Linked DNA regions of Arabidopsis thaliana. The protein of the gene in region 1 interacts with the protein of each later gene in a pairwise test. Each region holds a gene or a part of one and is shown in the gene's direction. Other genes may lie near its edges.

Region 1 (9,078 bases):
AGAGGCAAGCACCACTCAGAATCATAATATGAATTCCTCCACAAAAGAAAAATAATGGCGAAAAGAAAGAAACAGAATGAACCTTCAGACCCTGGCTTCCCTGAGGAAGATAGCTATCACGTTTCACCCAAGAAAAACAATCCAAATGGCACACAAACTTAGCTCGACATTCACCTTGATTTTGATCACAACGGAATCCCAACTCCTGCAACCACGATGGAAGGAAAAAAAAAAACATTATGCCCTGGGGATGGGAAATAGAACCGAGGTCTGGTAGATGAGTGCCACCTTGCCAATTCTAAGAAAACTTCAGAATTCAAACGCAAAACACATTACTAATCTAGTTTTAAGCAGAGGCACATTCACAAGGTGACAACAAAATATCAGTGAATAATGTCACAAAGAATTTCTCAAGTAGATCATATATTTGATGCAGACAGAATATTTTGTTAGCAATACCACAGTGAAGGAAACGTGATACCTCGTTCATTTTGATCCCATGATGAGATGCTCTCCGTTCTATAAATGGCCAGTCAAAAAAGTCACCGTTGTATGTAACATAAATACCAGGTTTCAACTCTTGCATATGAGAAAACCATTTTCGGAGGAGTTCAACCTATACAAATCAAAACCAAGAAAGTAACTTAATTCTAAGCACCTCAATCTTTCTGATACAAATATTCAAATCAAGAGCTAATTTACTTTACCTCGTTGGTAACATTCGTGACTTTGAAATACCCTTCAAACTCTGGTTTGGGTGTATATTCCAGATCTTCTATGTCTTTGCCAACACACTGAATTAAGAAGTGCAAAGTTAATACTACAAATTTTATCAAACAAGATTGAAGTGGCCCAAATATTTAAAAGAAATAATAGAGCTGAGATATCAACCAGAGATGATATATCCAATGGAAAATTGTTAAGAAAAAAAATTCATGTTTTAAATTACATAGCAAAACGTTATGTTAGTCCACAACAATAAGTCTTACAGTCACACATCAATCAATCAAACAAGCGGGATAATTTCGTATGGATCATATCTGATTTATCTTGGATTAAGAATGCAATCAAAATAATCCAAATTCACATAAGGGCTATATAGCAGCTTATCTACGTTTATGATTTGGAAACGGTCATCATCCATCATGTAATATATCATCATTGATTAGATCAAATCCAATGCAATACAAATGTATGCAGCAGTTACCTCTCTGTTAGTAATTAGAAAACCTTGCCCATCAACCATGTAGGATATCATCATAATTTGATCATATTCAGCATCCGGGAACTTCAATGGAAGCTTTACTGTCTCTATATCGAATGCACAAACGCGAACTTCTGCGCGTTGGAGAAGATCCGTCCTCTTCTCTAGTATGACATCAGTGCTGGAAATACTGACATTGTACCATTGCCCACTACGCACATCTGGACAGCGAGAACACATCATGATTTTGACAACCTTGAGGGCTAAACTAGGATTAAAAGTTTGACTAAATAGGTTACCATTATCAATTGCAAATCGGACATGATAAGGAACATCGTACTCGCGGAGGTCCACCACAGAGTCTAAGCAGTCTTGAGGACGTTGTTCTCTACATTCCAAGACTTGGAAATTATAACTAAGGAACAACATAGTTTTAAGGGATAAATTTGTAAGAACTCTGGAAATTTATAAGAACAAAAATACATTGCCTTACCGTTTTCCAGACAAGATGGATTCGTAAGCTTCAAGTGCATTAAATTTTGCGAGGTTTCGTTCGACAATATGCAACAGATCCCTCTTTACTTCCACCAATTGTTGCACAGTGTCAAATGATACTTTGAGATATTTTTTTTGCAGGCCAGATAGATGATTTTTCTGCTCATGAACATAAGAAATCAAGAAACTCAAATTGGTATGGTAGGTCAAAGAAAAGGTCAGCAAAAGTGACAACCAAACAAGAGGTACTGAAAACGTTCATATCTTGCATAATGTTGCCACTAAAGAAGAAGCATTAAACACTTAAACATTTACTAGCAAACGTTTTTTGAGTTACAAGAACGTTTTTGGCAGGCTAGATAGATGATTTGAGCACATGGAAGCAAGATCAGTTTTGGACTTATTACTAGAGCTGCTCAATTTGAAGTTGCAAGAAGAGGAAAATAACTAAAAGTTGTAGCAAATGTAATTGACATGAGTCCTCTATATAGAGAGAAAGAAACGAGTAATCAACAGGTAGTTGCAAACTGCGTAAAAGGAGTTATGCTTTAGTGACTTACAAGATAAAGATCTTCTTTGTGAACAATCTGAATATCAGCAACTTGTCTTTCATATCGGCGTCTCAAGTAGGCTTCAACTTCCAGTTCCATATTGTCCTGTAAAAAGGGCATTGCAGTTTAGTTGACATATAGGAAGAAAACACTCGAGTACAGAGAGAACATATATACTTTGGTGGCGGCATACAAGTAAGGGCGGAACTTGTACTTAGTCTTAAAAGAAGAGCCGTCCTGAAAGAAACAAAAAGGGTTGAGCAACTGATACGAAGAAAGAAGCTAATATAGTAGCAATGACCACAGCTGACCTGAGTGACAAAGAAAAGGTCCACACAACTAAAGGTTTTCCCAGTATCGGCATCTTCCCAAGATGACTGCCAACAACGTAGTATAATAACCAATCAGTGAGTGTACTTAGAAGTTTTCAGTATTCAGAGAACTAACTACTAGGGAAGTCACAAAACGTGACTTACTGATGCAAACGTGAGTAGCCACCCGAGCCGCGTTTCCCCTTGGGAGAAAAGCCCAAATCCAAGTTTAGTTTCGAGTTCATCTGCCGCTGAAACTTTCTGCACATTCAACCTCCGATCACATCTCCTTCCGCTCATATTTGGCCCACGCCGATGATGCTAAGAGACTCTTGTATTGATTGCTTGTGTTGCGTATTAAATAAATTAGGGTTCAAAACAAAGGGATTCGTGATTGACACTGGTACGGTGAAGAGATGGAACCAGATCAAATAAGAGAAGAGAGAATCATCTAGAACCTGAGATTCTTATGACGACAATACAAGGAAATGAAGTTGTCATCCGAAAATGAATTAGGGCTCAACTAAAAAAGACAGATGAAGAAGATGAAATGCTTTCGCGCGCGTTGTCTCTTGTATCAAGGGCTTTCCTGGTTGTTGGGTTCGGTTCAAATGAGGCCTCACTTTTTATGAGGGCTTTCTGTTGTTGGGTTTAGATTAAAACGAGGTCTCGCTATTTAAATTGAAAAAAAAAAACCAACAAAAGCACGAAACGACGTCGGTTTCGTGCTTGAATCTCTTCTTCCTCGCGAACGACTGAGAAGAAGCAGGAGTTTAATTTCCTCCGGTCGAATCTGAAAACGAAATAGCTGCCATAGCTTCTTCTCAATTTTCCCCAATTGTTGTTGCCCTTCTCCCTAATTTCACGACTTTCGATTCTTCTGAGTTCTGAGTTCTTCGCATCACTGACTGACGTAAGCTCCTCTTTCTCTCTTTTGCTTTCTCCTCTTTCTGGGTTTCTCTCTCTCTCAACAAACAATCGGAGAGTGAGAGATGCAAAAAGTCCTCATATTTATATGTTCGGAAGAAGATCTCCAAACACTAATAGTACTTTTTTGTAGACTATGAAGATGAGAAACATTTGTGTGAAATTAGAACTTCTCTACTAAGTGAAGGTTATGGATGTTCATTTGGTGGAAGAGAATGTGTCAATGGGGAATCATGAGATAGGAGATGAAGGAGATGTTGAACCTAGTGATTGCAGTGGACAGAACAACATGGATAACTCGTTAGGGGTGCAAGATGAGATTGGAATTGCAGAGCCATGTGTTGGTATGGAGTTTAATTCAGAAAAAGAAGCTAAATCTTTCTATGATGAGTACTCGAGGCAGCTTGGTTTTACTTCTAAGCTTCTTCCTAGAACTGATGGGTCTGTTAGTGTTCGAGAATTTGTGTGTAGTAGTAGTAGTAAAAGGTCAAAGAGAAGGCTTTCTGAGAGTTGTGATGCAATGGTTAGGATAGAGTTGCAAGGTCATGAGAAATGGGTTGTTACAAAGTTTGTTAAAGAGCATACTCATGGATTAGCAAGTTCTAATATGCTTCATTGTCTTCGTCCTCGTAGGCATTTTGCTAACTCGGAGAAATCTAGTTATCAAGAAGGGGTTAATGTGCCTAGTGGTATGATGTATGTTTCTATGGATGCTAATAGCAGAGGAGCTAGAAATGCGTCTATGGCTACAAACACGAAGAGAACGATTGGACGGGATGCACATAATCTGTTGGAGTATTTTAAGAGGATGCAGGCAGAGAATCCTGGCTTTTTCTATGCGGTTCAGCTTGATGAAGATAATCAGATGTCAAATGTGTTTTGGGCTGATTCGAGATCTAGGGTTGCTTATACTCATTTTGGTGACACGGTTACCTTAGATACGAGGTACAGGTGCAATCAGTTTCGTGTTCCTTTTGCGCCATTTACTGGTGTGAATCATCATGGTCAGGCTATCTTATTTGGCTGTGCACTTATTTTGGACGAGTCAGACACTTCATTTATCTGGCTGTTCAAGACTTTTCTAACAGCAATGAGAGATCAACCGCCGGTTTCTTTGGTGACTGATCAAGATAGAGCCATACAGATTGCTGCTGGTCAGGTATTTCCAGGTGCTCGTCACTGTATTAATAAGTGGGATGTGCTAAGAGAAGGTCAGGAAAAGCTGGCTCATGTGTGTCTTGCGTATCCTAGTTTTCAGGTGGAGCTATATAATTGTATCAACTTTACTGAAACGATTGAGGAGTTTGAATCGTCCTGGAGTTCTGTCATTGACAAATATGACTTAGGAAGACATGAATGGCTTAATTCTTTATATAATGCTCGAGCTCAGTGGGTACCTGTTTATTTCCGGGATTCGTTTTTTGCTGCAGTGTTTCCTAGCCAAGGTTATTCGGGTTCCTTTTTCGATGGATATGTGAATCAGCAGACAACCCTTCCGATGTTCTTTAGGCTGTACGAAAGGGCTATGGAGAGCTGGTTCGAGATGGAGATTGAAGCAGATCTTGACACTGTCAACACACCTCCAGTCTTGAAGACGCCATCACCCATGGAGAATCAGGCTGCAAATCTCTTTACAAGGAAAATATTTGGAAAGTTCCAGGAAGAGTTGGTAGAGACATTCGCTCACACGGCAAACAGAATTGAAGATGATGGTACTACCAGCACATTTAGGGTTGCAAATTTTGAAAATGACAACAAAGCTTATATAGTAACGTTTTGCTACCCTGAAATGAGAGCAAACTGCAGCTGTCAAATGTTTGAGCACTCCGGCATACTCTGCCGACATGTTTTGACGGTGTTTACTGTCACTAATATACTCACTTTGCCACCACATTATATTTTGAGACGGTGGACAAGAAATGCCAAGAGCATGGTAGAGTTAGATGAGCATGTCAGTGAAAATGGGCATGATAGCTCGATACACCGCTATAATCATTTATGTCGCGAAGCCATCAAGTATGCTGAGGAAGGGGCAATTACAGCTGAAGCTTATAATATTGCTTTAGGGCAACTCAGAGAAGGTGGAAAGAAGGTTTCAGTTGTCAGGAAAAGGATAGGTAGAGCTGCGCCTCCTAGCTCACATGGTGGTGGAATTGGTAGTGGTGACAAGACCTCTCTATCAGCTGCTGACACAACCCCTTTGCTGTGGCCGCGCCAGGATGAAATGATACGCAGATTTAACCTTAACGATGGTGGGGCCAGAGCTCAATCTGTTTCTGATCTGAATCTGCCGCGTATGGCACCAGTGTCACTTCACCGAGATGATACTGCTCCTGAGAATATGGTACCCAGAGGAAACCTTTCACAGACTTATTTCTTTGATTCTATTGGTGTTGGTCAGTAACTTGATTTACTTTGTCTTACAGGTGGCTCTTCCTTGTCTTAAGTCATTGACTTGGGGGATGGAGAGTAAAAATACAATGCCGGGTGGTAGAGTTGCAGTTATCAATTTAAAGGTGTGCATTATATGAACCAGTAAATCTTTTCTGTAGGGTTTTGCAGTAACTTTTACTGAAAGTTGGTCTGATGGGATGCTTTATCTAAAAGAGATTAGATTTGTAAGAATAATGATCTTGAAGATTTGAACAATTGACATTCGCCTTTTCGGAAAAGTTACTGGCTATAGTGTAGGAAAATCAAAGTTGTTGCCATTAATAGTCTTGCTCGTTCCTGCAAAATAGTAGTTGACCGCTTTACTGAGGATTATTTTTCATGATGTTTTCAGTTGCACGATTACAGAAAGTTTCCCTCAGCAGACATGGATGTCAAATTTCAGCTGTCTAGCGTCACACTTGAACCCATGTTAAGGTCCATGGCTTACATTAGCGAGCAACTTTCATCTCCAGCCAATAGAGTAGCTGTCATCAATTTGAAGGTATGTCTTTTAGACTCTAGGCTCGTAGCTTCTCATGTAGTCTTCTTGACTTGACTAAACTCCTTTTAATTTATTGATTGTCTTTGGTTTGTTCTAACATAGATTCCATCTACCGTTAGTGTGTGAAACTTCTGTGTTGTTTGACTTGTTTAAGCTGATTCTCTCATTCATGTTAACTTGCCATACGTTTTGCAGTTATTTATACTAGCGTCACTACTTGAATATGAAATTTCATGTTTGATTACCAAAATCAATGTTTTACTCCATATTAGGGACTCTTAATTGAACTAGAAGGTTTCAACAGTGTGAAAAAATCTTCTTTTGTTTTCCTTACTCCAGCTTCAAGATACCGAGACAACAACAGGAGAATCAGAGGTCAAGTTTCAGGTGTCCCGAGATACACTAGGTGCCATGTTGAGATCAATGGCCTATATCCGTGAGCAGCTCTCAATCGTTGTAGGCACACTCCCTTTTTCTTTTTCTTTTTCCAAGTAGTAGTTATTAAATAATTACAAGGCCAATGATAGTTGAATTAGTAATAGTAACAGCAATCAATTAGGTTCATATCGACCTATAATTGTTCCTGAACTATTACTTGGTCTATGTATTGTCTTATAGAGTATCTAAACGGTATCTTGCATTTGCAGGGAGAGCTACAAACAGAATCTCAAGCAAAGAAGCAACGCAAATGATGTTGAGAGAGAGAAACAACCTCTGGAAAAGAAAACTTTGGAAAATGGTTGTTAACCTCATTAGAGCTCGTCTGTGATTAGTGTTGTTAGATTTACGATACAATGCCTTATGTGTAATTGTAACATGTGTAAGTGTCACGTCATCTACGCAAGTGTGTAGAATCTGGTAGGCATTGAGCCAGGCTTTGAAGTGTATATATCCTTCTTATTTACATTGAACCCTAAAAACCTGGATTCTTGTGGATAGTCATTCGTTTGACTGCAGATTATATTTAATGGCCATGGAGATTTAAGACTGCCATGGAGACTTAAGTATTGATAACAAACAATGTGGATAAAACGCATTATTCAATACAAGAAATTCTCATGCTATTTATGTAATCATCGTCGAACAGAATTAGTAAGAAAGCACATGAAAAATTTTGAAAAACAATAAGGAAATGTATGGAGTGCGTATTTTACGCTTTAGTGAGTGAAAATTGGGAGGAACAAGACATAATACATCAAAAGGGTAAGAAAATGCCACAATCTGCTAGCTTTGCCTTCTAATACTGATGCCCTTTAACCCAACCCGAACCAGTAAACTCGGGATCTCTCTAGCCCTGTCTTGTCTACAAGCTCCTGTAATCAATAACGGTCACTTCTTCCTCTGGAGCATCTAGGTCTTGGTAGCTGCACCAAATTTCTCATACATTAGTACCTTAGAGACACTGCACTCTTGATCATAGGGTAATGGACTCATAGCACAGAGTGAACTACGTTACCTGCGCAGCCGTCTAGGATCTTGTCTAAAGGCCGGAGACAACAGAAAAGGGGCAGGTCCACCTCTCCCGCTACCTTCAAAAGGAGGGTTGGGTCCACTTGGGTCCCTGAACATCTGCATAGCAACTTCAGGTGGTGCTGGTACAAATGGTCCCAGTGGCCTGACCACATCATCATTCAGACACATTAAGATCATTGATTCAACACAGTAACTAATTTATTCTGAAAACAAGATCATGAAGGGAGTGAGTAATCTTTATTAAACCTACCCAGCACCAGGAACAGGCATCAGCATTGGTGGTGGGTTTATATCCGATAAGAAGGGAGGAACATGAACACCACCTTGTCCACCAAATGCATCATACCCAACTTCCCCAGGATTTCCACCATCATTATCCCCTCTCTGTTGATCTTCTGACCGATCATTTCTGTCATTTCCATTAGCACGTCCATCACGCTCTCTGCGTCCACCTCTATCATCCCTCAGTCTGTTCTCCATGCTGGGTTTACGTCTTATAGGTCTATCTCTCTGTTGAAAGTATAATTAACCCACGTAAATAAAACTCAAACCAAGCTAAACAAGTGATAACCCAAAAGTACAGACTAGTCAACACTCCATTAAATCTCAAAAGAAGATCATGTACCGGGCCAGATTGCTGCGTGGCTGGTTGTCCTCCTGGAGCATTAGGATCACTGCAAATAGCACAAAAAAATTTCATTACGAACCTGTCAGAAACGACAGTAGAGGAATCCAAGAGAAAAAGCCTACATACTTCATATAGTTCTGAAAATACAGTTCTTCCCGAACTTTGGTAGTCAGCTCTGTGACAAGCTCAGTGTGTTTCAGCTTGAGATGCTTGTACACAAATTCAGCAGCATGAAACAGCTTCGTGCAGCCCTTGGCTCCACAACCATATTTCCAACCATACTTCTCATCTCTAATCTTTCGGACATGTGGATCTAAAGCTTCAGTAGCGGCAGCATCTATCTTCTCTTTGGCAGCCATCACTTCCAAGGGATCTTGACCTTTCAACCTCTCTTGCCAATGAGAGTCGAATTTACTTTCATTCTCATCTCCTTTTGCATCAGAAACTTTTCCTTCAGCTCTCACATGCCGCAAACCCTTAGCTTCATTTGTTTCAACCTTTCCGTAATAGTCCAGACCATGAACACGCCATAGATATGTAACAAGCGTGTCAAG
Region 2 (6,750 bases), on another chromosome or scaffold:
CAATCCTTCGCCTGTGACTTATGAAGCTGACAACACAAAACGAGCCAAACAGTTTGTGATCTCTTTACTCGTTCTTGATTGATGTACCTATTCAAAGCAATATAGAATGATCAGTACTCATTTAGTTTGCTGCTCCCTGCAGGCAATTTGCACAAAGATCACGGGTCCGTAAGCTCCAGTACATATCTGAGCTAGAAAGAAATGTACAGACATTGCAGGTAAGGCTCAAAAAAACTTGCATTCAAAGAGAGAGTAAGTGAAAGATGTAGTAGATTACAATTTGTGCAGCACTGAAGTATGGATTTTATTTTGTGACTATAGGCAGAAGGCTCCAAAGTTTCAGCTGAACTTGATTTTCTCAACCAGAGGAATCTTATTCTGAGTATGGAAAATAAAGCTCTCAAGAAGCGTCTCGAAAGTATAGCTCAGGAGAAGCTTATCAAACAATGTAAGTTTCTCGCAGTTTCTTTTAGGTTCTTAAGGTTCAAACTATAGTCTAGAGTATGAGTTTGTAAGTATTAGCTAGTTATCAAGATTCAACAGTTCTTAAGATTGTATACCTCATGAGTTCTGTCTATTATCCAGTGGAACAAGAAGTGTTGGAAAAGGAGATTGGGAGACTACGAGCGTTGTATCAGCAACAACAACAAACTCAAAAACCATCAGCCAGTCGCGGACGTGCTACTAGCAAAGATCTCGACTCTCAGTTCTCCAGTCTTTCACTGAACACCAAAGATTCCAACTGTAGGCGTGACTCTGTATCTGTGATGGGTCAATTCCACTTTTAGTAAATGTCTCTCTACCCACTGGTTCATTAGAGATCTTAAGGGCCTGGCGACTCAACAAGATCAGACCCTTATCTACCGCCTCACCACAGACGTTTTTAACTCCCCCGTCGTTTCTTTTTTTTTCTTTTCTTATGGTTGACAAGTTAACTCACCAGTGCACCTGGAAATCCTATATTACTTCCAGGAGATGGCTTGCCTGAGGTGGTTTAGTTCGAAGATCAGACACCTGGACTTCATTTATCTGGTGATTGTTGTAGCGACTTGTGTAATATATGGGACGAATATATTCGAACCCGGACTCATCTCTGGAGTTGTACTATGATACCCACTGTTGTATTTTATGTTACTTGTAAAATGGTGCATTCCCTTCGAGTGAATGCTTCATGTAAAGTTGTTGCCATTTTCTGTAGTACTATCCCCAAGCGTCAAAATATTTGATTGCCTCAGATCTGCACTTAATTTATATGCACATTTACAGCTATTTCATTGCTCTTTGTCAAGCCTCTTGAAGGGCCTATATCAACTCAATTGTTATCAGAAAGTAAACTGGTTAGCATTGTTGTCGTTTGGTTTTAGAGGAAACTGAAACGGCTACATTAGAAATGTTTTTGGTAGGCGTGGGCAAAATACCCGAACCCGAAGAACCGAACCGAACCTGACCCTAAAAACCCGATCTGAATTCAAACCCAAAATTTTAAAATACCTAATCAGATCCTAAACTACAAAACCCGAATCCGATCAAGTTTCTGAACATATCTGAAATATATATACATAAAAATAATTTATTAGTAATAATCATATTTACAACAACTATTAAGTGCATAAAATATTAGATTTTGTATATATTTTGGATATTTTACCTACTTTTCGATAGATTCGGATAGAAAATACTCAAGTTTTTTGGAATTTTTTTTGTGTATTTTCAAGTAATTTAAATATATTTTGATACAAAATTTTGAGTTTTGGATATTCCGGATGAACTCGAATCCAAACCAAAAAAACCCGATCTGAATCTGAAATCTTAAAATAACTGAACCGTAAACCCAAAAAGACCCAAATACCCCAACGCCTTACCATATTAAATTAGGAGGAAACCCGTTCATAAATAATTTTTCGGGTTTGGGCCACAACAGACCGGCCCATTTCAACCGGTTCATAAATTCTAAATACTAGAAAATTCCAAATTAGATAAGTTTTTGTCCATCCTTTCTTTGGGATTCTTGACGAGTAACGTTTGATGTCTTTCTTAATTTGGTTGAATGATCAAATTTGTGATCCAAATTCTTACAAACTGATATGTTAATGAATCTATAACCAAAATAACGTCTAAAACAAAAAGCTGTAACGATTTGAAAGTGCATTTTTTCCCAAAACTATATAACTAATTAAAGAATTTAGTGTCATTTATCTAATGGATATACTTTTAACAAAATCTTATAAAACTAAAAATATTTAAGACAAAAGTGAAATGGAGATACGGAGGTGGATTGTAATGAGCTGTCCCCACCTGCAAAAATACGCACGCTTCACTGTCTGAAAGATGCTTATCTCTCTCTTTCTAACTTTCTTAATCCACAAATCTTTTTTAAACCTTTTTTTATTGGTGCTCTAAAATTGGTAAACAATAATGTTGTGATGAAAATAATGTAATTGAAAAATAACATAACTCATATTTGGGTAGAATTTTGATAAAAAAGACTTAAAATAATTGTGAAAAGTTATTTTTCTCCCCTAATTACTTTTTGATTTATATAATAACTAATCAAAAATCAATAAACGTTTTATTTAATGTTAATGACGGCATATATATTATTTATTTTAATAATAATATCCTCTTGCTGGAAAAGTCATCCACCTGCTTTTACATCATCAAACCTTTTTTTCTCTCATCTCTCTCTCTCTCTTCTCGAGACAAAGAAGAAGACAAGAGTCAAACTTGAAGGCGACAATCGGAGCTTCCATGGCCGTTTCTTCCTCTTTCACCAAACCCTAATTTCAATTTCATCTTCTTTTCCCTTCTTTCTCACCGGAAAATGGATCTCTCCGACATCCGAAACAACAACAACGACACCGCCGCCGTCGCCACCGGAGGAGGAGCAAGACAGCTAGTTGACGCATCTCTCTCAATCGTTCCCAGATCTACACCTCCCGAAGACTCAACACTCGCAACAACCTCATCTACGGCAACGGCGACTACAACGAAGCGGTCGACTAAAGACCGTCACACGAAAGTCGACGGAAGAGGACGTCGGATTCGTATGCCGGCGCTATGTGCAGCTAGAGTTTTTCAGTTAACGAGAGAGTTAGGTCATAAATCCGATGGTGAAACTATTGAATGGCTTCTTCAACAAGCTGAGCCAGCTATTGTTGCTGCTACAGGTACAGGAACTATTCCGGCGAACTTCTCTACTTTAAGTGTTTCGTTACGAAGTAGTGGATCGACTCTCTCTGCTCCGCCGTCGAAATCGGTGCCGCTTTACGGTGCTCTTGGATTGACTCATCATCAGTATGATGAACAAGGAGGCGGCGGTGTGTTTGCTGCTCATACGTCGCCGCTTTTAGGGTTTCATCATCAGCTTCAACACCACCAGAACCAGAATCAGAATCAAGATCCGGTGGAAACTATTCCTGAAGGTGAGAATTTCTCTAGGAAACGGTATAGATCGGTTGATTTGTCTAAAGAAAACGATGATCGGAAACAGAACGAGAATAAATCTTTGAAAGAAAGTGAAACGTCGGGTCCTACGGCGGCGCCGATGTGGGCGGTTGCGCCGCCGAGTAGGTCTGGTGCTGGGAACACTTTTTGGATGCTTCCGGTACCGACAACGGCCGGTAATCAAATGGAGAGTAGTAGCAACAATAACACCGCCGCAGGCCACCGTGCTCCTCCTATGTGGCCATTTGTGAACTCTGCTGGAGGAGGAGCGGGAGGTGGAGGCGGAGCAGCGACTCACTTTATGGCGGGAACGGGGTTTAGTTTTCCGATGGATCAGTACAGAGGAAGTCCACTTCAGTTAGGTTCTTTTTTAGCTCAGCCGCAGCCGACTCAGAACTTAGGACTAAGTATGCCGGACTCGAATCTCGGGATGTTAGCCGCTTTGAACTCGGCTTATTCAAGAGGCGGAAACGCAAACGCGAATGCGGAACAAGCGAACAATGCGGTGGAGCATCAAGAGAAGCAGCAACAGAGTGATCATGATGATGATAGTAGAGAGGAGAACTCAAATAGCTCTGAGTGAGTGATGTAAACTAATCTTGTGAAATCATTGAATGTGGTAAGAAATTGATTTAAAGCGTTTGTAGCGGTTTGGTTGATTGTTTTATTGTGAGATTTTGTGTGTTGTTGTTTAGTAGTGTTTAGACAAGAACAATTTATGTGTGAAGGAATTGTTAGGTTTGGGTCCAAATGGACTCTCATGGGTAGAGAATGTTTTCAATGTATAGAAGGAATGATAGTCTTTTCGATTTTTCAGTTTTCATTGTTGAGTTTCTTATATTTTTGTAGGATAAAATTGCATTCAAACCAAAAGAATAAAAATTGCATAATTAATCGCAATTAATAAGTTCCAGTGAAAGAGTTGGTGACAGATCTCACTTCTTTTCTGTATGCTACTTTTGTTTGATTTCTTTTTCGATCGAGCAAGGTCTTCTGCAACTGTTCTTTTTTCTGGCACAAGGATTTTCAAGGCACTAGTATGTATATAATATAAGACACACTGTTCTTTACTTGGAAAAAATTGAGTTTGGATACTTACATGATAGATATTCTAATAACATGCCTAGATGGTTTAAGCAAGCTAGGTTGTATACATCTACTCATTAATGTTTATTTTCAATACTCAGTGTCACTGGGCTTCCGTTCTCTTATTAATTTCAATGGAGTGCTAAAACTAACTTTGGGGAAATAGATAGTTGTTTGGTTCAAATATTTTGTACACATGATATTATTCTAAGACAACATACACGCACTAAGTTAGTTTTCTGTTTTTGTCCTAGTCCGCGCTAACATTTTGGCTTATGTTATAACTTCCTTGGTTACAGTATTCTCCTAATTTGAGCGATAGGTTATAGTGTATATAAACAGGAATCACTGATAGAGAAAGGACGTCGTATATCTTCCCATGCTCACAAATTAGATTATCAATTAACCGAATTAGGCCGAACAAATTGTGGAAATCAATCCTGTAAAAGCTTTATTAAATAATATCTAAATAATACGAAAGCAACAATGAATTTAAAACTTGTAAAAGTTCTTCTTGTTCAGTACTAGCTTCAGCGAAAGTCTCTCAACTCTCAAGGAATGGTGATCAAACTGGGAACATAGACAGAGGATTGAAACTCACATAGCACTTGATCTATCTTAATCTTTTTGCACAAATCTCCCCTCACAATATACACCCAAGCTGCTTTAGGTCTCTTGCTAGGACAACACAGAACAAAGCTCTTCCCATGGATATCATTATCGACAAAGTAACTTGTAGAGATGTAACTAAGTAATATGGGGAAGTCAGGTCTTGAGACTGTCATGAACTTAATCCACACCACATCGTCTCCATCATCCCCGTTACCAATTTGATCCTTTGTCACCCAAATCTCAATCTCCCTTGTTTTTTTGGATTGTTCTAACACTGAAAACCGATCTCCCTTGTAAATCGAGAGGATACGAGTATGTGTAGTACTTTTTTCCCCCTTACACGGTAAAACACAAAAGGTCTTTCGACTCTTTTCTATCTCTTTCGAAAAATCGAGCATTGCGATGAAATACTGACCAGTGTGGGGAGAATTATAAGCTGTCCAGTACAAATTTCCATTCAGGGAGACCCTACCGGAGTCGTCCATTAATTCTGGCTTTTCGTGAAAACGGGTATGATCAGTAACCTTCCACGCATTGGTTGCAAATTCGAAGACTGAATATGTATCAGTAACTTTACCCTGCCAAGAACAACTACTCCTTCCGATAATCTTGTAACTCTTTTCGGGTCTACTACCATCGTAACCAATGGCCTTGCCACATGTATTCTCAGCCTTGGCAATCCATTTAGTCTGTCTCCAAAACAACGGGTTCCAAACAACGCCTCCGCCTCCATTAAGAAAGCTATACATGAAGAAGTTACCATCGCAGATCCCATACAGATGATAACCGCGGCAACTTAAATGATCAAAGCGTAAATCACGCACCTTTATAGTTGGATTTTCGTCTTTGAGATCGACGCTTATCGAATAAATATGTGAATGTGTATTTAACATGATTTCTGGCCGACCGCAAGCAAAGTTTTTGTTGATGAATCTCTTATTCTTGAAAAGAGTGTTCCATTCTCTGCAAACGGATCTGAAGCGAACGAGAGATCGAGGTGGAACTCGAAAGAGTATCTCTTCTTCCAGATCTAATGGAAGCTTTTTCGACACCATTAGGGTTTTCTTTTTTTTGGTTGGAACCATTAGGGTTTTCTTTGAAAATGAAGCAATGGAAGAAAATATATTTACATAGATAGAGTAACAATTATTTCATTTTCGTAATATGTTATATAAAGAATATTTGAGAATAATATATAATTGGCTCGTCTACCAAACGGCCGGCCAATTTAAACCGCAAGGTAAGGTTCCGTTATTTGCTTCCTATATTTGAAGCCCTCTACTCGTGTCTCGTGATTCCTAATAGACATACAATTATAATCCATAACTAATGATGTCATATATATGTTCTTTTAGCGATGAGCTTAATTACTAAATCGAATTTGGTTGTTTAGACTTTAGAGTATATATAAGGAACGATGTGGAATTCTCTTGGGGTTAAGATGCAAATTGCTCGTGTCTTGTAGTATTCACTGTTGATTGTGTAATTAAACAATAAATTTATACTAAAGGATTTAGACAAATTCACTTTTCTCTTAGCTCGCGAATGATCAAAAGAAAAGAACAAGGTTACTTGGGTAAAAAGTTAGGGTTTGCTCTGTAAAGAGTG
Region 3 (6,431 bases), 7.2 Mb from region 1:
ATGTTAAAAAATTACTTATCGCATCGTAACCGTTGATTACAGGAACTGTAACGTATCAACGGACGATATTGATTCCTAGTTTGTCACTGAAAATAGAAAATAGATGGTGCCTGATATTTTTCCAGCGACCGGCAAAATTGCAACCAGGAAGAGAAAGAAAATCAGAGATTGATTTAACGTGAATGGAATTTTGTTGTTTCCCAATTTCTTCTGAGAAATAGCAAAGTTCAGTTTTGTTTCTCTCTATCTGAAGCTCAATGGAAGCTTATAAGCAATGGGTTTGGAGAAATAGAGAGTATGTACAATCCTTTGGATCCTTTGCCAACGTAAGATTCATTTTTATTACTCTTCTCCTTAATTTATTTTCCAGTTTGATTATGTTCTGATTCTCTGTCGATTTGGGTTTGTTTTCGTCTCGTCGTTAGTGTCAATTTCTAAGTTTTTCATCGTCTGCTTGTTTGAATATTTTTTGCTTGAAGGGTTGTGTTTTAAAATCGAAGCTTTTATTTATTGGGTTTAAGAATGAAAACCCTTTGAAAAAATTTAAGAGTTGAATCAGTTCGATCTTTTAATTCGTAGTTGTGGAATTCATCAGCTGATAGTTCGTCAAATATGTTTGTTTTGTTGCAGGGATTGACATGGCTGCTTCCTGAGAAGTTTTCTGCTTCAGAGATTGGACCAGAAGCAGGTTTTGTGATACTTTGGTAACATTTTACTGCTTTCAATCTTAGAATAACTGTTTCCTTTATCCCTGTTAGCTCCTAAAGTCTCTTGTCTGAATAATGAACACTGTCCTATACTCAGTTTTATCGGTTCTTCTCAAATTACATACTTCACTTGTACCTCCTCACATGTTTCGTGTCCTAAGTCTTTAACATTAGAACCTTCAAGTTCCAAAGAATGTTTCTTTCTTTCTTCTTTTGTCAGTTTTGTGTTCATGGAAGTGTGATTGAAGTTTTTTGGTAATCTTCTTTGTAGTAACGGCTTTTTTGGGCATATTCTCAACGATAAATGAACACATAATTGAAAATGCTCCAACACCTCGTGGCCATGTTGGATCTTCCGGGAATGATCCATCCCTTTCTTATCCACTACTCATCGCCATCCTCAAGGATTTGGAAACTGTTGTGGAAGTGGCAGCTGAACACTTCTATGGAGACAAAAAATGGAACTACATTATTCTCACTGAAGCTATGAAGTAAGCTTGCTTTCTTCTGATCACTTGGATCTACACAACCTACTTAGTTGGCATTTTGATATCTTGAAAACTTTGAATTTTCAGGGCTGTCATTAGGTTAGCCTTGTTCCGGAATAGTGGGTATAAGATGCTTCTTCAAGGAGGGGAAACACCTAATGAGGAGAAAGATTCTAACCAATCCGAGTCGCAAAATAGAGCTGGTAATTCGGGTAGAAATCTCGGGCCTCATGGTCTTGGAAACCAAAATCATCATAATCCATGGAACTTGGAAGGACGGGCGATGTCTGCTTTAAGTTCATTTGGTCAGAATGCAAGAACAACAACATCTTCTACCCCCGGTTGGTCTCGAAGAATTCAACATCAGCAAGCAGTTATAGAGCCTCCAATGATCAAGGAGAGGCGAAGAACGATGTCCGAGCTACTTACTGAGAAGGGTGTTAATGGAGCGTTGTTTGCGATTGGTGAGGTTCTTTACATAACGAGACCGCTCATTTACGTTCTTTTCATCAGAAAATATGGAGTCCGATCTTGGATTCCTTGGGCTATATCGCTTTCTGTGGACACACTGGGGATGGGTCTTCTTGCAAATTCGAAGTGGTGGGGAGAGAAGAGCAAGCAAGTCCATTTCTCAGGACCTGAAAAGGATGAGGTTAGAAATCTCTTGGACCTCAATACAACAGTAATGTTGAACCGATTTAACTCATATTCTTGTTACTTCTTCAGCTGAGGAGACGAAAACTGATATGGGCATTGTACCTCATGAGAGATCCATTCTTCACCAAGTACACAAGGTGAGTGTTCTTATGGTTTCAATTATGGCATTTTCTGAAATGGGAAAAATTGAAACCGAAGTGGTTCATTTCCTCTTGGCTCTTATGTTAATATTAGATTTGGTATCCCTGGGTTTTAGGCTTAAAGCTTAAGCTATCGCGGGTTACTAATAAATCAAATATGCTTGTCTTGCAATTGCAGGCAGAAGCTGGAAAGCTCTCAAAAGAAGCTGGAACTAATTCCATTGATCGGATTCCTCACAGGTTTACTTTTTAAAGCTTTCATTTCATTCACGAGATCACTGATTGTCTTGTCTACTTGCCATCTACTGACCTTATTTTGGTTCTCTCATGGAAATTGCAGAGAAAATTGTGGAGCTTTTGGAGGGAGCTCAGTCACGGTACACTTACATATCGGGATCGTGAGGTTAAGCGTTTTACTTATGGTTTATATGCAACGGAAGAATATTGCCATTGTTGGAATGCTTTTTCAGATCATCAAAGGCTCCTACAGATTTCTTAGGGAATGGTTTCAGGCTTTTGTTAGAAATTGTGTTTATTGCAACAGGTAGAGAACATAACCATAGACAGATGTATCTGAAGAGATAAGCTTCTCTATGTCTAAAGAAATGGACCGATACGAATAAAACAAGCATCATTAAAGATTAAATGGTTTGTAAGAAATACTACACTTATTTATGTGAAATTGTGTGGTTAGTGAAAAGTAAAAACATCGGAATCCAAAACCTCAAATTTACCAATCAGCCCAAATTATTGATGCTGGCGTAATGAATGGTATGCTGATGGTAGGCAAAAGTTGGTGGCTGCGAAAATTACAACATTATCCCTCTGTGGTGGACCCGAATCTGTAATCGGAAAAGGTGGAACCCACTTGGTTTAACTTTTAAGCCTAAAAGGTTACTACCGGTTTGACCGGTTTATAATTTGGTGTTTAATTCTAATCCCGGATCCGTTTGTTTGTTAATCTCAAGGCCACGTTATCGCCAATATTTTGATTTTTGAGTGGGTAGGGAATGGTGGGGTCGAATAGTTGGGCCTAGCCCTCAACAATGTGTGGAACTGAAGAGAGTAGGGTCCAGCTCAGGCCCACATTCACATTTTCGTTTTGTAGCCTTTCTTTTCTGGTGCTTACGGTCCCTCTTTCTGGTCGGTCGTATGTACAAGTAGCATAGCTAGTGGTTCAAACCCGAAACAAGTACCAACGAATCAAAATAAGTTTGAATCGGTTACATCTAGTTACCGTCGAACTTACAATCATTTCGATTACTTTGATCTGATTTCTAGTTCGGTTTGTATGTTTAATATCCGGATTGTACAAGTACACAAGTACATAAGTATGCGTATATGTATGTGACCGGTTTAATCAAAGGACGGACGATAGGAGGATTTTGGAATCCTGGAAAGAGGATTATTCCATAGACACTAATTAGCTTTTTGGTGGCGCAGCCTTGTGACCTACATTAATGGGGTCCAACCCCAAGTATGGGCTTACAGCTTTTTCCATAAAATTAAAGTAAATCTTTTTTTGCCTAACCAATAAAAATTATTGAAAATCTTTCCAACCATAGAAAAGTTAAATTTGATCAGCGATGGAAATTTTTGTACAAAGCTAGGTATTTCATTTGGGAGTGTACTAGTAACTAGTAAGTACTAACCAGAATGAGTTTCTGATTTTGGATTTTGAAGCTTTTCTTAGGTTAAAAAACAAGTATATTACTAAACAATAAAAGAAAAACATTTTGTGAAAAGAGAAATAAAGTTTACTGGACCCCATTGTACAGATGGTCCCATAATAATACTGATAGAAGATAGAGCAATGGAAAGTGATTTGTTCACGTGGTACAATCGGAATGGTTCTTTAAAGCTCATCGAACACATCAGGACCGTTGATTTTTCCCGCATCAAAAAGCGTTGAATACTATTCTCACTTGTTTTCCTGCTCCTATATATATATCCTGACGAGTCACATTTAGTAATCTCCTTGGACGTGTAACGCCGTTAAAACGATTCTTTCCCATTGTATCCGCTTTTAACAACTCTCGTCGTCATCTCCACCGTCCGTTTTCTCTCAGCTATATTTTAATGGCGACAATTCAGAAGCTTGAAGAAGTTGCAGGCAAAGATCAAACTCTAAGAGCCGTTGATCTAACCATCATCAACGGCGTCAGAAACGTCGAAACTTCAAGACCTTTCCAAGTAAATCCCACAGTGAGTCTCGAGCCCAAGGCGGAGCCGGTGATGCCGTCGTTTTCAATGTCTTTAGCTCCACCGTCTTCGACAGGACCACCATTGAAGAGAGCTTCGACTAAAGACCGTCACACGAAGGTTGAAGGAAGAGGGAGAAGGATACGGATGCCTGCCACGTGTGCGGCTAGGATTTTTCAATTAACTCGAGAGTTAGGTCACAAATCCGACGGCGAAACGATTCGGTGGTTGTTGGAGAACGCTGAGCCGGCGATTATAGCCGCCACGGGTACGGGAACGGTTCCCGCCATCGCCATGTCGGTTAACGGAACCTTAAAAATCCCGACGACGACGAACGCTGATTCTGATATGGGTGAAAATCTGATGAAGAAGAAACGTAAACGACCTTCTAACAGTGAGTATATAGACATAAGCGACGCCGTTTCAGCTTCCTCCGGTTTAGCTCCAATTGCCACGACGACAACGATCCAACCTCCGCAAGCTCTGGCATCATCCACTGTGGCTCAGCAACTTCTGCCGCAAGGAATGTATCCGATGTGGGCTATTCCATCAAACGCAATGATTCCGACGGTCGGAGCTTTCTTCTTGATTCCACAAATCGCTGGTCCGTCGAATCAGCCTCAGTTATTAGCTTTTCCCGCCGCCGCTGCTTCGCCGTCGTCTTACGTCGCCGCTGTTCAACAGGCTTCCACGATGGCTAGACCACCTCCTTTACAAGTTGTTCCAAGCAGCGGCTTTGTATCCGTTTCAGACGTTAGCGGTTCGAATTTATCAAGAGCGACGTCGGTTATGGCTCCGAGCTCAAGCTCAGGCGTAACAACCGGTAGTTCATCGTCAATTGCAACAACAACGACGCACACGCTGAGAGACTTCTCCCTAGAGATATACGAGAAACAAGAGCTTCACCAGTTCATGAGCACCACAACAGCACGGTCATCGAACCACTGAAGAAAAGAAAGGAAACGGCGGCGTATTAGTGATCGGAAAAAAAGCACGTGTGCACATGAAGAAGTGCACGTGTTAAGAAGTGGGCCTCGATTTTAGGCAGAAGTGGGTCAACACGCACCAAAAAGAGAGTGGAGGGAGGAGGAGAGGGGCCACACGGCTCCCACCTTACGCATAGCTTCCGAGGCAGCCAGGTTGGGTGTGGTCCCCAAATGGTTAGAGCTACGTGGTCCGTATGAGTAGGACCAGCTTAAGCTTAAGCATAATTCGAAACGTTTCGTTTTTTTGGTGGGGGCTCACCACTTTGTCTTGACTTTTTTGGTCTTTGTAATTTTACAAAATAAGATTTATTGAAGCCCTCTCTAAGTCATGGTCCACTCAACAACAATTGTGATATTGATGTTTTGATTTTATTAAAATCTGTAACAAAATAAATATTTCTATCTAAAATGAAAATACTAATGTTGTTTTCCTAAAATTGTTGTAGCATTACTTTTCAAATGATTCCATTTTCTTACAAGTGTTACAAAAGCTTTTTGCGAAAAAAGTCTCGTCCGTGTTATTGGCGGGGCCTAGTAAGCTTGATTGTACCACTAATACGGCGTTGTTTCGTGGGGCCTGAAAGCTTCCCACTCAAGGGACGCCTAGTTGGGTCAGCACCACCAGTTTAACGCTAAGGAAATAAAGGAACAGCCTGGCGTGGGTCATACTTGTGTCTATCTAATCTTTACCGTTCAATTCCATCGTCTTGTCCTAACCGTTGATTCTATTTCGTTCGTTGTTTAATTAGTACTAGTAGTAGTAGATATTTTCTTCTTGTCTACGGTCTCAACGCCAGACAGGATTTACTATAAGATAACTTTGTTTATGTTTGATTTATAATTCAAGTGTGGTTGGTTAAAGTTAAACCATGGTTCTCCGTTTCACACCGTTGATTATATATTTTTTTAAGATATGTAGGAAGTAAAACTTTAAAAGGTTAAACACAAGGTAAAATGTATTATTGGAGGCCTAAACCAACTTGGTGGCCGTGGATGGGGAAAAAAGGTCCAGAAGTGTTGGCTATAGGATTCCTCGTGGACTTAGAGAAATGACTTGTCGTTCTCTTCTTTTATTTCAGTGGACCTCATTAATTTTTATATATAGTTGGCCTATAAATTTATAAATGTTCCTTTATTTTTCTTAAAAAACAAAAAGGTTTTAAATCAAACAGCGGGAAACCAGCCCAATGCTTTTTTAATTTCTTGATTAAGCCCAAAAAAGGGAAAAAGTTGTATGGGCTTACATAACAT
Region 4 (7,462 bases), on another chromosome or scaffold:
ACTCTTCAGAAATATACACAGAGGTTAAAGAACTATCTCCAGTTTCCACACTTTTGAGTAAATAATATCAATAACTCAGTTATCAAGAAACTGGCGTTCTCAGATTGTGAAGGGTTTGGGAGAGACCTTGGTTGGAGCATATCCAGGACGAGCAATGAGCTTCATCACCAAGAAAACAAACCTCAAGTCTCCAACCGTAAGAAACAAACAGATCCTAGTTGGCTCTTAAGTTGAGTTATATATTAACCGAGTGAGTGGGGAATTTGGGTTGTACAGGTGATCAGTTACCCAAGTAAGAGGATAGGTCTGTATTCTAAACCCTCAATCATATTCAGATCAGATTCAAACAACGAGGATCTCGAAGGCAACGCAGGCGCTGGACTTTACGACAGGTTTGTTTTGTGTGTTTCTCTCTGTTTCCGTCTTTTATTTCGGAACTCAGAAGCTGAAAGGGTTAAGTGCTGCAGTGTGATAATGGATGAAGCAGAGGAAGTAGTGGTGGATTACTCAAGGGAGCCACTAATAATGGACAAATCCTTTCGAGTGCGTCTATTCTCAGCGATTGCAGAAGCTGGAAATGTGATAGAGTCAATCTATGGTTGTCCTCAAGACATTGAAGGTGTTGTCAAAGGTGGACATATCTACATCGTCCAAGCTAGACCCCAAGTTTAAGCTCTCTTTTTCTACTTGTACCATTCCCTAAGTTTTCAATCAAATCTTATAATTACAAGCTAATCTTTTATATGTTTGCTATTACACATGTAATATTTCTACATCATGGCACACTCCTGATACAAACAAACATGATTCAAAGTTTCATAATAAATGATTGTGTGATAAAAATCCAAAACTCGTTTAAACGACATCGTATGAAGGGTCGCATAAGCGAAGAAGGATATAAAAACAGTCGCCGAGAAAGTCTCCCGCTATGGATACCGTTCTCATGGCTACAACACCACCAATCAGATGTCTTCATGCTTCAATTCCTACGGTGTTCCGTTCGCCGGCGATTTATCAGGTCAGCTGCCGGAGCTCCCAACTGTTTTCCTACCGTTCGACGACTATGATGAGCATGTGTTTTCTCAGACGGTCCGATTTGAGATCTCGCTTTCTTAGTACTCCGAAAACCACTTCTCCGATGAGACGACCTCGCTTTTCCGTCGGTGCTTCTACGGAGGAGTCTTCAATTCCTTCTAATCGGAACCTTATCGTGGCTAACTCCGTCGTAATCGTAGCTTTAGCTGTAGCTAATCGCGTGCTCTACAAACTCGCTTTGGTTCCCATGAAACAGTACCCTTTTTTCATGGCTCAGCTCACCACTTTCGGGTAACTTAAACAAGAGTGGCTATGAAAGAAATTGGGCAGTGAAGGAGCCTAGCTTAGATTATGATAAATGAATGGTTTTTGGCAGCTACGTCTTGATTTATTTCACCATTCTGTATACGAGGCGCCGTCTAGGCATTGTGACGAATGAAATGATGGATGTACCCAAATGGAGATTCGCAATCATTGGTTTTCTCGAAGCTCTTGGTGTTGCCACTGGCATGGCTGCAGCAGGTATCCCATTTATAGCATGATTGAAACTTTACATATTTATAAGGTTACATATGGAGTGATTCCACTCTCTGTTGCAGCAATGCTTCCTGGACCAGTTATACCCATTTTGAATCAGGTCTTTTGGTTTTATGATTATCTTCTTGCTCATTTGTTCTCATGGGGGTGTTGAACTCATGCCTCCCAATGTTTGGCAGACATATTTGGTGTGGCAGCTGCTTTTTGCTCTTCTTATTTTAGGCAGGAGGTTTTTGCTTAACCAAATTGCTGGTTGTCTCCTTGTGGCTGTGGGGGTTGTGGTGGCTGTTTCAAGGTATTCCTTCCTCCCTCTTCTCTTCTTCTAAAGTTACTTTTATCTTCTTGGATCTGGATGCTTGATCTTGGGGTAGAGAAATGTTTGTGTATCCGTGGTCATTTACAGATTATATCAAGAGAGTGCTTTCAGCTCTTACAATCTAGAAAACTAGTTTTCATGGACCAGAGTCACACCTATCAAATTCACCATGCTAAATGAATGGAGACGGCTCTACTTTAGTATTTATCATCCACATAGCAAATAGAAGGCCCTGATTCTAGAGAAGCTTGTGTGATAGTGATACTTTCATTTTTGTGAATGCTGACTGTAACTCATCTGCAGTGGATCTGGTGCAGATACTACGCTATCTGGAATCGGTTTCTTATGGCCTGCTGTATTGGTAGCATCCGCTGCTTTTCAAGCTGGTGCATCTATCATAAAGGTGAAGGTCGCTCTCTCTTATGAGTTGTGAACATTTCTATTTTATTTTCTTTTGCCAAGACCCAAGTTGTTAAGTGTTTTGTCTGTTAACAGGAATTTGTTTTCAATGATGCTGCAAAGCGTCTTGAGGTATCTCCCTTATCCCCTGCATCAAACAGGAATGCTTTTCTTTCGAAACTTTGCTGAATTAACTCTAAGATTAACTGGTGGATGCAGGGAAAGTCACTGGATATATTTGTGGTAAATTCATTTGGATCTGGATTTCAGGTATCTACTACTACAATATCATGTTGTAAATGTATTTGTTACAGCCAAAACAATTAGACATGCTTCTCCATTACATCAAGAGTACGTGAAGAAAACATTTGAAAGCTGCTTTCCTCTGTTATTCACTTATTATCTCTCTCCTACTTGAGAAGAGTTTTTGTTTTTTGGTTTAGTGTTACGGATCACTGAAGCTGTGCTTGTGCAGGCTCTTTTTGTGTTCCTGTTGTTGCCTTTTCTCTCAAACTTGAAAGGCATTCCATTCGCCAGCCTTCCTTCATATCTAAAAGATGGTGCCGGATGCTTCTTCAACACTGGAGCTAAGATTTCTGGTTAGAGACCATTCGACACTTGTTTTTTTTTCCTTCATTGAATTTTATTCACTGCTAAAACTTTGTGATTATCCATTTGAGAATTTCAGGCTGTGATGGTGCCCCTATACTCCCACTGCTCTATATATCCACCAATCTCGCTTTCAACATCTCATTGCTCCATCTGGTGAAAATATCTTCAGCAATCGTTTCCTCTCTTACCATGATGCTCTCAGGTCCATATTTCTATCCTTCCATGCAACGCCTCTTAAGTGTCACCAAATACTCAAACCCATATGAGATAATACTTTTGGTGTTGTTGTAGTGCCATTAGCGGTGTACATAATGTCAAAACCATTGCCGTATCTACCGGGAGGATCAAGCTTGAGCTCAAATTTTACGATGGGGTGTATAGTTCTTGTCCTAGGTCTTCTTCTCTACAACATTCCCACTACTCCAACTAAACAACACACCAAGACCTCCTAACACACTCACTCACCATTCATCCTTTTTGTGCATTACTTTTTTTTTTGTTGATAAACCAAATTCGTGTAATTTCCCAATTTTTTTTCCTTTGACCATCAAAGATACATAGAATATTCTCAGATATTTTTTTTACGTGAAAAACTAGCTTAAAGAAAAAAAAAAAAAAAAAAGAATAACAAGAAGAGAAATTTGTGATTGGTTAAAAATCCAGTAAAGTAGAGTCGTCGGGTCGTCTCGGAAGCAGTGCTGCGATTTTACCTAAAGTCACCTTTTTTTTTTACCGTCGGGTGAATTCGACGACGGTCCTAATCTCGCCTCCTCCACACGCGCCGATCACCATCTCTCTCTGTAATCGCTCTTCTCGATGTCAACTATTTCCTTCTTCCTTTGCTCTTAGGGTTAGGGTTTATTTTGTTCTTTCTCTATATCCTTCAATCAATGTGAAAAAAAAGCTCTCCCTTTTGGCAGTTTCCGATGTTTGGTCGCCATTCGATTATCCCAAATAACCAGATTGGTACCGCCTCTGCTTCCGCTGGTGAAGACCATGTCTCTGCCTCCGCTACGTCTGGTCACATTCCTTACGACGATATGGAAGAAATCCCTCATCCTGACTCTATCTATGGTGCTGCCTCCGATTTGATTCCCGATGGCTCTCAATTGGTTGCTCACCGATCCGATGGCTCTGAATTACTTGTTTCTCGGCCACCGGAAGGGGCGAATCAGCTTACGATCTCGTTCCGTGGACAAGTTTACGTTTTTGATGCCGTTGGTGCTGACAAGGTAATTCTACTCTGTCCCTCTTTTGTTATTTGTGTGAAGTCTCGATGGATGCATCTGAAACATAACATCTGATGGCTTAGGGCACGTAACGATTGCCTCTTTTGCACCTTTGTGCTTTTGCTAGTCTTAACCAAACTTTGGAAATTGATTTCGTAGGTGGATGCTGTGTTGTCGCTGTTGGGTGGTTCTACTGAGCTTGCTCCTGGTCCGCAGGTGATGGAACTAGCTCAACAGCAGAATCATATGGTAACTTTGTTATTTGTGTTCAAATTCTGCTTAAATTGTCACTTCATCTCGATTCCACCTTTTTCAGTTTGGTGTTATTTTTAGCCTGTTGTAGAATATCAGAGCCGCTGTAGCCTTCCGCAACGGGCACAATCCTTGGATAGGTTTCGGAAGAAGAGGAATGCTAGATGTTTCGAGAAGAAAGTAAGATACGGTGTTCGCCAAGAAGTTGCCTTAAGGTCAGTGTGTCAGTCTTGAGTTTTACCAATTTATGCCAAAAGCTGTTACTCTGAACAAAATTCTTTCACCTTTTCTGGGATAAAAATTTAGTATTCTTGTATAGCTAAACTAAAAATTTTCTACTCTTCTGGCTATGCTCTGGTTGCTTAACTACTTCCTCACTTTCGTGTGCTATGGATTGAAAGGAAATCTGTTCATATTCAACTAGTTTACTATCTAGCTAGTTTTCTTTTATTTGTTTCAAGAAGTTTGGTGACCATGTAGGTGTTTATGTAGAGTAGTAGGCTTCATTGTCCATGGCTTGCTGTAGTATTTGACAATATGGTTGTAGTTGAGCAGGATAGACATCTGAGTCTTTGTTAGTGTGATAAGTAGCTTTTACTGGAAATAATCGACATGTCTATTTCAATAATAAGGGATAGGATTTGTCACCTTCTCTGCCTCTCTGACCTTTGTTAGTGTTTATCAGAATGGCACGTAATAAAGGTCAATTCACCTCTTCAAAGATGACAGATGGGGCTTATAACTCTGGCACAGATCAAGATTCTGCCCAAGATGATGCCCATCCAGAAATATCGTGAGTTCTTTCTCTTCTCTGCCAATTAACTGTTCCTGCAATTTTTGTTTTCCACTAATGTGGGACATTTTGTTTGCACTTATTTTAAACGTGAGTGTGTCTTATGTAGGTGTACTCATTGCGGCATTAGTTCCAAATGTACACCAATGATGCGACGTGGCCCTTCCGGCCCCAGGACTCTCTGCAATGCCTGTGGACTTTTTTGGGCTAACAGGGTACGTATGAAAGACAAAGTGATGATAAAGACATATATAATATGTTCACTATGTTCAGTTCATAAGATACTGATATAGCCAAGAAGTTTGACATTTAGAATTGTTCAATTCTTGTAGGGTACATTGAGGGATCTCTCAAAGAAAACAGAAGAGAATCAGTTGGCTTTAATGAAACCGGTAAGCTCTTATAAATATCACCCTGTGTTTCTGGTTGGTTTATCCACATAAGGCGGAGCTTGAATCATCATCGCTTATTTGTAGGATGATGGTGGGAGTGTTGCTGATGCTGCTAACAACTTAAACACTGAAGCTGCAAGTGTTGAAGAACACACTTCCATGGTTTCTCTTGCCAATGGGGATAATTCTAATCTGTTAGGTGATCACTAAATACTGTGATAAGAATCAGAAGATAGAAATCTTTGTAGAATCAGATGGTCTTCTCTATGAATTTATCTTTTCACCATCACATGTATTATAGAAACCGTAACCGAACCTCAAATCAAATACCATATCAGATGTCTTTGGTTTCAGAGTTTGTTACTATGCTTGCAACCATACCCATTGACATGGTGTGGTTAAAAACGTTAAAGTCGATTCTGAGGGGAAAAAAGTTTACTTATTACGTTACATCCTCAAAAGATATGATCAGATTAAAAAGACTTATCAATGTCTCATACATAAATCAAATACTAATCTACTCAAAACTTGAAAGGTGATTTCTTCTTCTTTTTGGTTGTATTGACCAACTAACAACACTACGTATCAAAATATCCGAAAAGATTTTAAAAGTTTCATTGGAATGGGACAATGCATCTTAGATCTCAATCCTAGTTTACAAGATTAGTTTATTAGAGGATGTATGCATACGCATCATATACCAAAACCATGTGGATTACTAAATCGGGCTCAGGACCACTAAATAGATTAGATTATCTACAAATCACATTATTGTGTACATAACAAATAGAATACATTATATAAATCACACAAAAATGTATCGAAGAAAAGAGAACCGTCGAACCAGTTTGATGGTAATCAACTAAGATAATGTTTTTTTTTCTGATGTCAATAGTGTTTGTTTATGAAGGAATTTATGATGAGATTATTCGAGAAGGAGTCGCTTTAAGTGACCCGATCCTCGTGACGACTCGTTGCTCTTTCTTTCTTTATTATAGATTATAGTTGTTCAAACAAATGAAAAGTATCTGAGACGAATAAATTAATGGGTGGTCTGTTTCTGTACTATAAAGAGGTCCATGCATGTACCATATCATCTTATTATGTACTATTAAACAAATAGATTAATGATTATATAATGTTTTCCGATATATTGAAATTAGTTTATGAGTCACGAGTTAAATCTGAAGGCTTCACCAAACCTAAAGTTAAAAGTCTCAAAACAGTTAAACACTCTTGTGATATCATCCCTGTATATAATCTTTAATGAAAACGTAGAAAAAAAGATTATTTGCAACCAGAAAACATCTGAACAAATATCCATTTCTCGTGGTTTTATGTTAAAACATTTGTCGTGTTGGGAAATAATTGAAACTTTTATTTTCCAACATTGAATTTTTCTTTATGTTAAAAGTGATGTGAACTTTGTATAAAATGAAGGAAAATTTAAAAGCACTCCCCTATATGCGATGCGAGAAAAGGGAGAGAAGATATGTATGCACTTGTTTCTTGTCACGTTCCGTTTCCACAAAATCAGTAGATATGCCAGTAACTGTGTTATCTTCTTCTTTTCGTGCGTCTGTATCCAGGAGACATATAAATGATGCTGAATTTCCTAACTATTTTTAATTTATAAACATGAGAAGCGTTAAATGGGTAGCAGCAATCAAACGTTTGGTGCTTAAAAGCGCTTATTTGAAGTATAAACAATTTGATATTTATAAGATAAAACAGCATTACATATGAAATATCATGATTCATAACTATATATGCAAAATTTGAAAACTTCTAAATCCCAAAATTACACAAAGATTAACTAAACTACATTATAATTTATAAATAAATAAAAAGATTAGTATCAAAACTAAAACGTTAAGAAATATCATAAGTGATGATT

The links.
Region 2: the proteins of FRS3 (region 1) and TCP8 interact in binary tests that used the Arabidopsis thaliana proteins (3 or more experiments, as listed by UniProt).
Region 3: the proteins of FRS3 (region 1) and TCP9 interact in binary tests that used the Arabidopsis thaliana proteins (3 or more experiments, as listed by UniProt).
Region 4: the proteins of FRS3 (region 1) and ZIM interact in binary tests that used the Arabidopsis thaliana proteins (3 or more experiments, as listed by UniProt).

Annotation. Positions count from the first base shown.
Region 1 is NC_003071.7:11,575,006-11,584,083, reverse strand, and holds FRS3 (FAR1-related sequence 3), read left to right. Parts: upstream 1-3,266; 5' UTR 3,267-3,678; coding exon 3,679-5,832; intron 5,833-5,914; coding exon 5,915-6,004; intron 6,005-6,273; coding exon 6,274-6,423; intron 6,424-6,762; coding exon 6,763-6,879; intron 6,880-7,070; coding exon 7,071-7,115; 3' UTR 7,116-7,416; downstream 7,417-9,078. Other genes in the region: TIL2 (DNA polymerase epsilon catalytic subunit), read right to left, coding at 83-205, 482-616, 708-794, 1,208-1,425, 1,504-1,592, 1,698-1,858, 2,260-2,355, 2,428-2,487 and 2 more; SE (C2H2 zinc-finger protein SERRATE (SE)), read right to left, coding at 7,727-7,787, 7,880-8,038, 8,147-8,406, 8,522-8,570, 8,651-9,078.
Region 2 is NC_003070.9:21,509,957-21,516,706, reverse strand, and holds TCP8 (TCP family transcription factor), read left to right. Parts: upstream 1-2,517; 5' UTR 2,518-2,821; coding exon 2,822-4,027; 3' UTR 4,028-4,375; downstream 4,376-6,750. Other genes in the region: AT1G58110 (Basic-leucine zipper (bZIP) transcription factor family protein), read left to right, coding at 1-51, 143-218, 322-448, 586-788; AT1G58090 (F-box and associated interaction domains-containing protein), read right to left, coding at 5,082-6,197. UniProt on the Arabidopsis thaliana protein: Can specifically bind site II elements in the promoter region of PP438/PNM1.
Region 3 is NC_003071.7:18,819,428-18,825,858, reverse strand, and holds TCP9 (TCP family transcription factor), read left to right. Parts: upstream 1-3,969; 5' UTR 3,970-4,071; coding exon 4,072-5,142; 3' UTR 5,143-5,617; downstream 5,618-6,431. Other genes in the region: SSE1 (shrunken seed protein (SSE1)), read left to right, coding at 258-326, 631-688, 979-1,198, 1,283-1,847, 1,922-1,989, 2,171-2,232, 2,333-2,394.
Region 4 is NC_003075.7:12,641,960-12,649,421, forward strand, and holds ZIM (GATA-type zinc finger protein with TIFY domain-containing protein), read left to right. Parts: upstream 1-3,604; 5' UTR 3,605-3,825; coding exon 3,826-4,131; intron 4,132-4,287; coding exon 4,288-4,377; intron 4,378-4,461; coding exon 4,462-4,595; intron 4,596-5,065; coding exon 5,066-5,173; intron 5,174-5,282; coding exon 5,283-5,388; intron 5,389-5,505; coding exon 5,506-5,589; intron 5,590-5,649; coding exon 5,650-5,775; 3' UTR 5,776-5,905; downstream 5,906-7,462. Other genes in the region: PWD (phosphoglucan, water dikinase), read left to right, coding at 1-23, 104-196, 277-392, 468-672; CLT2 (CRT (chloroquine-resistance transporter)-like transporter 2), read left to right, coding at 929-1,326, 1,412-1,557, 1,635-1,672, 1,752-1,867, 2,192-2,291, 2,384-2,419, 2,507-2,557, 2,763-2,886 and 2 more. UniProt on the Arabidopsis thaliana protein: Transcriptional activator that specifically binds 5'-GATA-3' or 5'-GAT-3' motifs within gene promoters.